Linked DNA regions of Caenorhabditis elegans. The protein of the gene in region 3 purifies or fractionates together with the protein of the main gene of each other region. This does not show direct contact. Each region holds a gene or a part of one and is shown on either strand. Other genes may lie near its edges. The genes, in order: Y94H6A.2, smr-1 and sftb-6.

Region 1 (4,527 bases), on a different chromosome or scaffold from region 3:
TTTGAATATTTCATGAATTCAACTTTGCGAAAATTACTCAGTTTTTTTTGTCTTCACAAGGTGTAACGACCCACAAAATCATCCGAGCTTAATCTTCTATTAAAATTCTTGAAAGTCAGATCAAAACGTTCCCCGAAAAATACTAAAATGAGTTTTCCTGCATACTGCTGCCGCCGCTCACATCTATCTTTCTGGCGACTGTGTCATTCAAGGCTTCTATGTCATTCAAACTACTGCCACAGTCATACCATGACAGAACTTTTTTGGATTTTTGTTTTCAAAGAATCTCTAGACCAAGAGCATTCTTTGAACTATAAAAACTTGTAAGATACTTGATGGGTTCCTCGAAAAAAAAAAAGTAAAAATCCCGCAGAATGCCGACTTGCGTGCCATCAAGAACGTGATCTCAAAAGTTCGGAAAGCCTGCAGCGATGCGGTTAGGGAAATTTTAAAAATTTTAAACGTTAATCTGGTCAGTATTTCATGGAGATCAAAATTTATACAAATTGATGTAATAACTCTCGCCACACGTGAAGTTACAGAGCTGCAAACGTGTTACCATACTTATGGCGCAGAAGAAAAATCAATCAACAATAACTTTATTTAGGATACACCTGCAAATATCCAAAACGATTTACGATCATAGTTTTTTCCCAAAAAAGTCTTTTCGAAAAATCCCTCAATCAAGGCGCCGGGTCTTTTTGAATACTCATTTAAGTACCAGTTCACCGGTCCGAAAAAGATAGTAGTGTTGCGCCGAATGATCAACACAAGTCCACATTCATCGCCGAACCGTTTGCAAAGCTTTTCCGCATAATCAATCAATTTGAATCTGTAGCTGAAAAAATGTTTGGATCAAATGTTATGCCATTAAGCCGCAAAATACAAACTCGTATTCCATTGGAAGGGCAGCTTGCAGCTTTCTTTGAAGGTTCTCCTCGTGCCTTTTGCAATCTTGGGTTCTGAGGCTTCGTAAAACAAAAGCATTGCACCCGTTTCGATTGAAAGAAGATTTAAAATTGCGTTTGAAATAGCTGTATGAAGTGAATTGGTACTCCTCAGATGAACCGTCACAGAAATCGTAGACGATCACGTAAAATTTGTGGCTGAAATATTTTGGAAAATCAATTTGAAATCTGACTGTTTGCGATATGGTGTGCAAAAAATGGTTACATTTGTAAGTGGATGTGAGAAAAATTACTGACGTTCACAGCAGGGCTGTCTTTTTTTGAATAAATTTTCGGAAAACGCAGATTTTTTGGCTTTTTTGGTCTTTCGGGACCAAAATCTTTTATATTTTTTCACAAATTAAAAAAATTCCAGAAAAAAATTGGTTGGCCCTCAAAAGCCTAGAAATCATCAGAAATCTGCAAAAATCAACATTTGGAGGAATTTTACGGGCTGCGAAAATCGTGAAAAATGCATTGAAAATTTTTCAGAGCGACTTCTTTCCAGTTCAAAGTGCCTAAATTGACCGGGGTTAAATTGGAATACTTCCTTTGTAAGCCTAATAATGGAAATACTATTCACGTTTTAAATAACTTAACAGATAAAATAATTGCTACCCCGGTCATAATTTAATTTGAAAAAAGTAAAGTTATAATACACAATTACCCTTTTATGTCCCTTGTCAATTTACAAAAATACTCACTTTGTCATGATCTTGCCCAATTCTTTAGTCAAAATATTTCGTATATTTTCACTTCCCTCATTATTGTCTTGCACATTATGGATTAAACTTAAGACTCCATCGTCCCAGTACGAGTGATCTTGACGGTATTCTTCAGCCCATCTATTCATTTTCAGTTGTAATTCTTCGGTTTGCTTCTTTAAACGACTCGGTCCAATCATGTTCTTATCGCAAAACATTCCATTCTGGTACGTCTCCAAAATCAGCTGAATATGATACACTTTATTTAGTGAGGGATGTAGTGAGTACCTACACATTGGGCAAGCACTCCGTCGATTATTTTTCTCCATTTTTCAAAAGTTTCCGTTGGTCGAAGAGGATCACAGTTCATTGCCATTTTGAGAGGATTCGTTTCCTCCTGGTCGAGTTTTATAATCATTTGCTGGAAATTTGAAGCTGTCTAACATTGAAATCTTGTGATTCCTTAATAAGTCCTACCTCTGCAATCCACAAAGGTTTATTATCCGTCACAGCGCCACGAAATAGCTCTTTTGTGTATTTACAAGGATTGTTCATCGTATCCTGCATGTATTTCATCAACGTTTTGATTGTAGCGACCTCATTCTGCAAAATTTTGAGTAAGGGTAAAGGGTGAAGGTTAAAAAGGGTCGTGATTAACTTTTTTCCTGCGCAGAAGGCTTCGTAACCACACTTTGAACCAATATCTATTCCGAACATACCATGTAAAAGTGAGACGTTGTTATAAATGACTTAAGATCACCGAACAACGCGTCCATCTTATGTGACAGTTCCCCAATCTTCTTGTCGAGCGTTTTGAGCTCGCTGAGTATCAGCTCCGTTGATTTGTCATCTTTGTATGCAGCCATCGTAACATATGCACTAACTATAGCACCGCATGCACAAATCGCAGTTAAATGCGGAACCACTGCGGCGGACGCATAAGCCCCATGTACTCCTAGGCAGCCAGTGACCACCGAAATAAATCCCGTCGTGTAGTTTACAGCTGGAAAATTGAGAATTCGATTCAATTTCATATTATTTTAAAAATAGAATCTTACCAGCCATCTTGAAATATATAACTGTCTCCAAATAGAAAAGCAATGATGTCTTATCTTTCTTTTCTCTGTTCTTGTTTTATACTCTAGTGCTACACATTACACGCATGCCATTTTTCTTGTGGAACTAAGTATGAGGAATACTGACATTTTCTTTATCAGGAATGCTAGCGTCTTCCTCATAAAAATTCGGAAAGGGCAAAAATGTCAAAGAAAATTATGTGTTGAAAATACTCAAATATGTCAATAGTACCAAGTGACTCATTTAGGGAACACGATTTTTGGCATAGTAAGTGAGTTCCGAACTAAAGAACTAAACTATAAATTCTGATTTTTTTAAAAGATTTTAAAAGAAAGAAAAGATTTATTCACAAAAAACATGTAAAAGATACATTAGTTTTCCTTGAAGGTATTAGATAAAATATTTATTTAAAAAAAAAGAAATCGCAAAAAGATAAAATGTCGTAGTTTTTATTACAATGGAACGGTTTTGAATAAAAACTACAAATATTCATCGAACACCAGCAATTATCTCAAACTTTTGACCGTACCAGTACTGAAAAAAGTCGCCACTACCAAAAAAAAAGTCAGAACCATTGCCCTTGAAACATCTCTCAATACAGTCACCGGGTCCTCTGGGATAATCGTCTGGGTCACAGTTTACCCAACGTTTGCGAATGTTTCTATGTTTTCGAATAATCCCCACAAAGCCACATTCGGCGCCGAACGTTTCGCGAAGACCACGCACGTACTCACGAAGGTCATGAATGCTGAATATTGATTTAAATTAATTAATGGTGTTTTCTTTAAATAAATACCGTATTTTCCGTATTAGTTCATATTGCATTAACATTAACATTAATTGTCTTCAGTTAAACACATTATAAAAGTATGGTAGTGGCGACTAATATAGAAAATGCGGTACACTGTACTTACTACGACTGTGGAGGTGTTGCATCGAGCATCCTTCGAAGAATCTCCAGGAGATTATGCGGAAAAGCTTTGCGAACGGTTCGGCGATGAATGTGGACTTGTGTTGATCATTCGGCGCAACACTACTATCTTTTTCGGACCGGTGAACTGGTACTTAAATGAGTATTCAAAAAGACCCGGCGCCTTGATTGAGGGATTTTTCGAAAAGACTTTTTTGGGAAAAAACTATGATCGTAAATCGTTTTGGATATTTGCAGGTGTATCCTAAATAAAGTTATTGTTGATTGATTTTTCTTCTGCGCCATAAGTATGGTAACACGTTTGCAGCTCTGTAACTTCACGTGTGGCGAGAGTTATTACATCAATTTGTATAAATTTTGATCTCCATGAAATACTGACCAGATTAACGTTTAAAATTTTTAAAATTTCCCTAACCGCATCGCTGCAGGCTTTCCGAACTTTTGAGATCACGTTCTTGATGGCACGCAAGTCGGCATTCTGCGGGATTTTTACTTTTTTTTTTTCGAGGAACCCATCAAGTATCTTACAAGTTTTTATAGTTCAAAGAATGCTCTTGGTCTAGAGATTCTTTGAAAACAAAAATCCAAAAAAGTTCTGTCATGGTATGACTGTGGCAGTAGTTTGAATGACATAGAAGCCTTGAATGACACAGTCGCCAGAAAGATAGATGTGAGCGGCGGCAGCAGTATGCAGGAAAACTCATTTTAGTATTTTTCGGGGAACGTTTTGATCTGACTTTCAAGAATTTTAATAGAAGATTAAGCTCGGATGATTTTGTGGGTCGTTACACCTTGTGAAGACAAAAAAAACTGAGTAATTTTCGCAAAGTTGAATTCATGAAATATTCAAAGGTTTTTTCTAGGCGCC
Region 2 (4,493 bases), on a different chromosome or scaffold from region 3:
TAACCCCAAACCAATATCCCTTGAAAAGTCAATTTTTCCCAAACTACAGTACCACTACAGTACTACTACAGTACCCCGACCATATCCCCTCGAAAGACGAAAACACTTTTTTCCAAAACTACAGTATTCCTACAGTACCCCTACAGTACCCCGGCCATATCCCCCCACTAACCTCAAACCAATATCCCTTCAAAAGACGAAAAGTCAATTTTCCCAAACTACAGTAATCCTACAGTACCCCTACAGTACCCCGACCATATCCCCTCAAATGACAAAAAGTCAAGTTATCCCTAACTACAGTACTACTACAGTACCTCTACAGCACTACTACAGTACCCCTACAGTACTCCTACAGTACTACTACAGTACCCCTACAGTACGCCGACCATATCCCCCCACTAACCCTAAACCAATGTCCGTTCAAAAGACAAAAAAGCCAACTTTTCCCAAACTACAGTAATCCTACCGTACTCCTACAGTACCCGACCATATCCCCCGACACCTGAAACGATCCACCATGTCCGAAAAAAAGTGTTTTTTGGCATTTTTTCACAATTTCCGGGAAAAAATCGAGTTTTTATTATATCAAGAACACAAAAAAAGTACAGTAAAATCGGATATACAAGAGAGCTCAAAAAAGTGAATCCATAGCTCCACGGGTGGCTTTAAAAATGAACTGAGAGCTTCTCGACGAGACGATCGTTCCTCGCTTCTCTCCGCCGCCGCCGCTGCTGCTCGCCGAGCCATCCTGGCTTGATCCTGTCGCCGAAACCTTCTTCAGGCCCTTCAGACCTTTCGCGTTGGCTTTTGTGTTGAATTTTTGCCAACTTTTCTTCTCGCCATCCTTTATCGAGTCGAGCTCCTTCTGTTTTTGCTGTTTTTTGAGCGCTTTTTGACGTCGGCGCTCCTTTTCTGCTTGCCATTCCTGGAAATTTGAAAAAATTTGATTTTTTTTTTGAATTTTTCAGCAATTTCCAGCAATTTTCATGCTAAAATTCAAATTCTCCGCTTAATTTTACCCCAAATGGACCTTTGTCAGGGCCTATAGCTCAAAATTTGAATTTCGAGGGTTACGGTAGCGCCAAAGTACGCAAACACCGCCTAGGCACCGAATTTTACGAAAATTTGCATAAATTGGCTGAAAAACGGGCTACGGGGGTAAAAAGTGATGGAAAAGTCGATATTTGGGCTGAATATCTGTGAAAATTACGAGTTTTTCGGTAAAATTAAAAATTTGGGCATAGCTTCCGCATCTCCGAGTGACAAATGTGCTTTATTGTCAAATTGTTGGCAGAAATACGGTATTTACCTACATTTTCAGCCAATTTAAGACTGAAAATGTAAATAAAAACAGTTTTTATGCCATCAATCCGAGTAGAAGCACATGAGTCACGGAAATATCGATTTTTGGGATTTTCTAGAGATTTAAACTAGAAATTTTGCGATTTTCAGTTTAAAATCGTTTTTATCGTCTATATTTGACATAAAAATCCAAAAAAAATCGATGAAAATGGCTTAAAACCATCATTTTCAGATTGGTGGCCTAGAAATCCCAAAAGTTAGGCCACCAATCTATTTTGTGCAAAAAACCGATTTCCAGGGGTAAAAATGAGTGAGAAACTCGATTTCCAACTGAAAATTTGAGAAAAATCACTTTAAATGTGAAAAATCAAGATTTCTGCATTTTGCCGTAAGACTTGTGGTGTTTGCGTACTTTTGGAGCTACAGTACCCCGGAAAGTCCAAAAAATCGATGAAAATTTCACGAAAAAAGCCGTTTTATCCGGAAAAACGTCAATTTCTAGAAATTCCTGCAGAAAATAGTCGATAAAAGCTGAAAAAGTGTCAATTTTTGGTGATTTTTGCGATTTTTAGCTCAAAAATATTGCAAAAACGGGGTTTTTCTGGTTTTTTACAGAAGAACAAGGAATTTTTTCCATTTTTTCCAACCTTTTTGCCGTGTTGAGTCGATGGTCCGGCCGCCGACTTTGTGTTATCAAATGCATAATTTTTTCGCTGATTTTCGGGCGGGAGTTGGAGATCAGCGGGATCTACGATGGTTTTCGTGCCGGTAGCTGAAAAAATACGAATTTTTGGTGAAAATTCACGATTTTTGGGCTAAAAATCGATAAAATCCCCCTACATGTGAAGGTAATAGCCACTCCGGCGGGCGTAAGTGAGTCGATTCTGGCGAAAACCTTTTTTCCGTCGGGATGTGGGGCGATAACTCGTTCGCCGACCTGAAAAATCGATTTTTAGCTGAAAAATTGGCGAAAATCGGGGTTTTTTCGCTGAAAATCCGTACCGTCCACTTGTGAATCACTTGCGGAGCCACCACAGCCCTCTCTGATGATTCTGCCTTGTCGGTTTCCGCCAAATCTTCCTGAAAATTGGAAAAAAATCAGTTTTTATTGATTTTTTTTCGAAAATTTTGCATTTTCTCCGCTTTTTTTCACACTACCTGCAGCGAAATAATCTCCCCGAGGTCTTCCTTCAACTTGAGAAGCTCCACATTCGTCGGATCGCCGAGCAAAGCCGCCTCGACCTGCTGGAGCTGAAGTTTGTAAGAGGCGAGCTCTTCCTCCATTTTTCCGCTATTTTTTCACTGAAAATGCTGGAAATTGGCAAGAAAATCGAGAAAAACGATGAAATTTGACTGAAAAATGGCAAAAAATCAAGAAAAATCAAGAAAAACCGGCGAAAATCCGGCGAAAATCGATGAAATAAAATGTATTTTCAAAAAGACGAGAAACGCGTCAGCAAAATCGAGTATTGCGCCAGCAACCCCACTCTTGCGCATTTCTCGTTTTCGGCGGGTATTTGAATGTGAAAACATCGTTTTTCGAACAAAAAGTCTAAATTCTTTATTAAAAACCAATAAAAACCCAACATGTCCCAATAAAAATCAATAAAAACCAAAAAATGATCAAAAATCCTTATTAAAAAGCAAGTTTTCATCGATATCCAGCATTTTTACAGCGTTTTTCCACAGCAAATCCTCCCTGTCCTTGGCAGAAAATGGCTTATACTCTTCCACAACTCTTCCAACTTCAAGCTCGCCAAGCGGAAATGGGTAGTCGGTGCCAAGCACTATATGCTCCTGAAAAATTGAGAAAAAATGATGAAAATTGACGGATTTCTCGCGAATGTCAAGTTTTTTTCGAAAATTGTCGCTTCGAGACCACAAATTTCTTGATTTCAAGTTAAAATTTGAATTGAGCAAGTCAAGAGCTTCAAAATAAGCCCCATATCAACTAGTTTTCGTCAAGTTTGACAGATTTCGCAATATTTCTTGGGTCTCGCCACGAAAACTTGCCTCAGCTTCTGCAAATTCGTGGCAGGACCCAAAAAATTTGAATTTTTGAATTCAGCACATTAACACCTTTCATTTGACACCCATCTTGCCTAGGTTTTCGAAATTTTGTGAATTTTGGGTGTCGCCACGCGGGGTACTGTAGCACCAGTTTCAGCTGTGTCGAAACAGGAAAATTCAAAATGAACGTAGCATAGTCATGATGGGCGTCATTTGAAAGCTGACGACGCGGGGAATTCGAATTTTCTATCTAGAACTCTCTAAAATCAAAATTGCACACCTTTCCAACGGTATTTATCAGCAGTTCGAGAGCTTTTGGGTCATGAACCAAGCTATCCGTCCACAGTAGCCCATCGAGCTTATTCGGAGCAACTTTACACTTTCCAGCACACAAGTCTGGCCTAACATTCCATCCGTGAGAAACTCGGCCACGAATCTGTGGGTAGGCGCCGCCCCCATGTGCAAAGCAGAGCTTCAACTTGGGGAAGAGCACCAAAATGTTGCCCATGAGCACTGAGCAAATGGCTTGAGCAGTTTCAGATGGCATTCCGACGAGCCATGGCATCCAGTATTTGTCCAGCCGCCCGTCCCACATGTGCATATCCCAAGGATGCACAAAGAGCACCACCGAGAGCTCCTCGCAAATCTGAAAACTAGATTTTTGATTTTTTTTGATTTGAAAATATTTTAGCTGGATTCGTCTCGCCGAGAGCTTTCAAATGACACCCATCATGACTATAATCAGGCGATTTTGAATTTTCTAGCTTCGACACAGCTGAAACTAGAGCTACAGTACCCCGCGTGGCGAGACCCAGAAAATTAAAATTCGACGTAACCTAGGCATGGTGGTACTTAAATTAAAGCTCTCGATGAGCTGAATTCATTTATCTAAGTTTTGAGGGTCTCGCCACGAAATTCACAAAATTACTGTAGCTTTGAATTTTTGAGAAATTCGAAAATTTTCGAAAATCTATAACTCCGTCAGTTTTTAAGATTTTTGAATGAATTTTGTTTTACAATGTAGGAAAATTATATTTCTGTATCTTAAAAATGTTATGCTCCAGCTGGCTACTGTAGGTACAGTACTCCTGGGGTTTTTCGTGGCGAGACCCCGATTTTCGAAAAATTCACGGAACCCAGGCATGATGGTACTTAAATTGAAGCTCTCAGTGAGCTGATTT
Region 3 (3,084 bases):
TACCTGATTTTCATAACGAGACAGCTAAAAAAGTTTTTAGATTTTCAAAATTCAACATTTTGTGCCAAAATCTCGACTTTTTTACCAAAAAAGTTGAATTTTGAAAATCTCAAAACTTTTTCAGCGGTCTCATTATGAAAATCAGGTACTTTTAGCATCTAAACATCATATGTATCATGTTTGGGGAAAAGTTTGGGTTTTGTATTCCCGTAATCCATCATATTACATTGACCACTTTCACCGCTACTTGCCGGCTGAATTCACAATTTTTTCATCTGGAAATTATTTTAGCATTAACAAAAAATATTTATTTATCAGTTTTAATAAGAAAACACGGGAAAAATCGGTGAAAAACACAAGAAAAGAAAGCAAGTAGAAAATGTCGTAAAATGCGGTGTATTGTGTGCAAACACCGATTTTTCGCATTTTTTCTCACCCCTCGTTCGAAAAAAGTTGCAGTGAAAACTACATGGGAAAGGCTTCTAGAAATACTTCTCAGCTACTCTTTATACTTTTTTCATGAAAAGTTCAAAGAAAAATAATCACAGAGAAATTATCATTCATTGAAGGTTGAGGGAAATGATAAAATAAGGTTTAAAGAAACACGATATTTAAATTCTTCTTGGAGTGAACAATCCCAACTTCTCCTTTTCCTTGTCGATGTCTCCACCAATTCCATATCTTTCTTTGATATCTTCAAGCTTGGTACGAGCCTTTTCCGTGTCCATTCTCTTCCACGCTTTTGTCGCTTGATAATAGAGCACCACAAGATACCGATTCGAAACGTTATAGCCAGACAGATGTTCGCAGGCGGTTTTCGCATCGAATATGTCCTCGTAGACGACGAATGCAGTTCCGCGAGTTTCTGCAGTGTTTCCGCTGAAAAATCAATACTGGTCGGGCTTCTTCAAGAACAGGCAAAACCATAATTGTGCTTGAACTTACACTCGAATTTGCCGAACTGCTCCGAATTTTCCAAAAATCTCGTACATCTCTTCCGTCGTGATTTTATACGGCAAATTTTTAATATAAAGAATACGATTGACCTCTGGCGGCAGCTTTGCGCCACGGTTTTGACGATTTGCCATTGCCATTGTGAATCTGAAATTGAAAATTTGAAGAAAAAACGTAATAATAAGAGGCAAAAAGAGTCTCGAAAGCAAATTAAATTTTATAATTCGAAAGATTTTAGCCAACGACACTCCGAAATTCCACAGGGAATTCCACGCGCCTTGTTTATTCATCGAATTCTTTTTTGGTATTGTTTACTGAATTTTCTCAACATTTTTACTGAAAAATGATTCGAAATAGAAAATTCTATTGAATATATTTCATAATAATAATAAAAAAGTCGATAAAATAGTGATCTTAACGCGTTTTCTCAAAGGAAAATGCACAACAACGACACTCCGAAATTACGCATGCGCACTTTGTTTACCGTAAATATACACTAGTGTTTTTGCAAACAAACTTTTGTTTTTTTTCCGGCGAAACGATGTTTTTTTCTGTTATTTCAACCGATTTTTCTCTCAAACTTTCAACAAAAAATAAATTTTACAGTCATGTCGGCTCGCAACGCTATGGCAGCAATGCTCGACGAGCTAATGGGTCCCAAACGGAATGTTGAACTAGGAAAAGACACAAAAGTCACATTTGATGTAACTTAAATTTTTTCCCCTGGAACTATTGATAGATTATTACAGGATCCTGACATATGCCCGTACTTCCTGGTCGGTTTCTGTCCTCACGACATGTTCATCAATACAAAGGCAGATTTGGGAGCGTGCCAGCTAGTACATGACGATAATCTTCGAAGATTGTATCCAGAATCTCCAGAATATGGACAACTTGGCTTTGAAAGACGTCTTATGCGGTTTCTCGTTCAATTAGATGAAGATAATCAGCGAAGAATTCGAAAGAACAAAGACAAATTGTCCGGAATGGATGATAGTGGAAAGGTAAACTCTTTGAATCTGAAAAAAAATGTCGAAAACACGCAATTTTTCAGCGAAAGTTAGAGGAAGAGAAGCGTCAGGTACAATTGGAGATCAATTCGATAGATGATGTCCTGAAAAATATGATACGAGACGCAGAGCAAGCCGGCAGTGAGGGAAATGTGACAAAATGCCAGGAAATAGTCGCGAGAAGCGAGATGGTTGAAGCTGAAAAACGAGGTCTTGAAGAGAAACTTTCACAAATGAACGAACCGAACCCACAAGCCATGCCACCGATGCTTGACGAAATGGCAATTAAGCCAATGGAGGTAAATCTAAAAATCTAGAAGATTTAGACTGATTTTTATCCAAGAAAAATACAATTACAGGTTTGTGAAGTGTGTGGGAGCATGCTCATCGTGAATGACGCTCAACAGCGTATCGAAGAACATTTGACTGGAAAAATGCACACAGGTTTCCAAAAAATCCGGACTATGATTCAACAGCTTAAGGTAAATATGCACACGTATATATCATATTTATATATGCTTTTACTATTAGAAAATGGGCTCTGAAAAACGCTGAAATCTCTCAAGCACACAAGCTGACGTACAGGTATTCCCCCCAAAAAAATGGTTCAGGTTTTTTCACCCTCCCACGCCTTTTTACGTGTCATGGCTCAAAGAGCAGGTATATTTGACTGGAAAAAACTGGCAATATGTAGACGAATTTTTTCGCGGAAAATAAATTTAAAAAATTTCAGGAAAAGCTGAAGGAGTTTGAACAAGCCGAGGAGACTAAAAGAAAAGAGCGGAGGTACTAGCAATCAGGGGTGCAGCCGAAAAAATTAAAAAAAAAAATTTTTTTCGAAAAAAAAGTTTTTTTTTAAACAAAACCGAAAAACGACAATTTTCGGATTTTAAAACTTCTTTTTCGATTTTTCTGGAAAAAGCGAAAAATTTTCGATTTATCCATTTTTTTCAAACCGAAAACCGTAAATTTTTCGATTTTTGAAATAACCACAAATTTTTCGATTTCTTTAGAAACACCGTAAATTTTTAAATTTCTTTGTTGTAAAAACCGTAAATTTTCCAATTTTTTGGTTTTTTAACTTAAAAACCGGTAGCCCTGCTCACAATAAAATTTGATC

Evidence for each region.
Region 1: the proteins of sftb-6 (region 3) and Y94H6A.2 fractionate together in Caenorhabditis elegans (co-fractionation; one large-scale study listed by BioGRID). This does not show direct contact.
Region 2: the proteins of sftb-6 (region 3) and smr-1 fractionate together in Caenorhabditis elegans (co-fractionation; one large-scale study listed by BioGRID). This does not show direct contact.

Annotation. Positions count from the first base shown.
Region 1 is NC_003282.8:2,728,481-2,733,007, reverse strand, and holds Y94H6A.2 (DUF4781 domain-containing protein), read right to left. Parts: upstream 2,717-4,527; coding exon 2,710-2,716; intron 2,655-2,709; coding exon 2,371-2,654; intron 2,255-2,370; coding exon 2,129-2,254; intron 2,073-2,128; coding exon 1,944-2,072; intron 1,897-1,943; coding exon 1,652-1,896; intron 1,107-1,651; coding exon 891-1,106; intron 839-890; coding exon 604-838; 3' UTR 586-603; downstream 1-585.
Region 2 is NC_003281.10:1,141,283-1,145,775, reverse strand, and holds smr-1 (Tudor domain-containing protein), read right to left. Parts: upstream 2,605-4,493; 5' UTR 2,587-2,604; coding exon 2,461-2,586; intron 2,383-2,460; coding exon 2,305-2,382; intron 2,240-2,304; coding exon 2,143-2,239; intron 2,075-2,142; coding exon 1,950-2,074; intron 1,597-1,949; exon of another isoform or gene 1,508-1,596; intron 926-1,507; coding exon 632-925; 3' UTR 565-631; downstream 1-564. Other genes in the region: acsd-1 (2-amino-3-carboxymuconate-6-semialdehyde decarboxylase), read right to left, coding at 2,926-3,099, 3,593-3,958.
Region 3 is NC_003280.10:96,421-99,504, reverse strand, and holds sftb-6 (Splicing factor 3B subunit 6-like protein), read right to left. Parts: upstream 1,102-3,084; 5' UTR 1,095-1,101; coding exon 946-1,094; intron 880-945; coding exon 612-879; 3' UTR 544-611; downstream 1-543. Other genes in the region: luc-7L3 (Luc7-like protein 3), read left to right, coding at 1,563-1,658, 1,704-1,958, 2,009-2,263, 2,324-2,446, 2,698-2,750.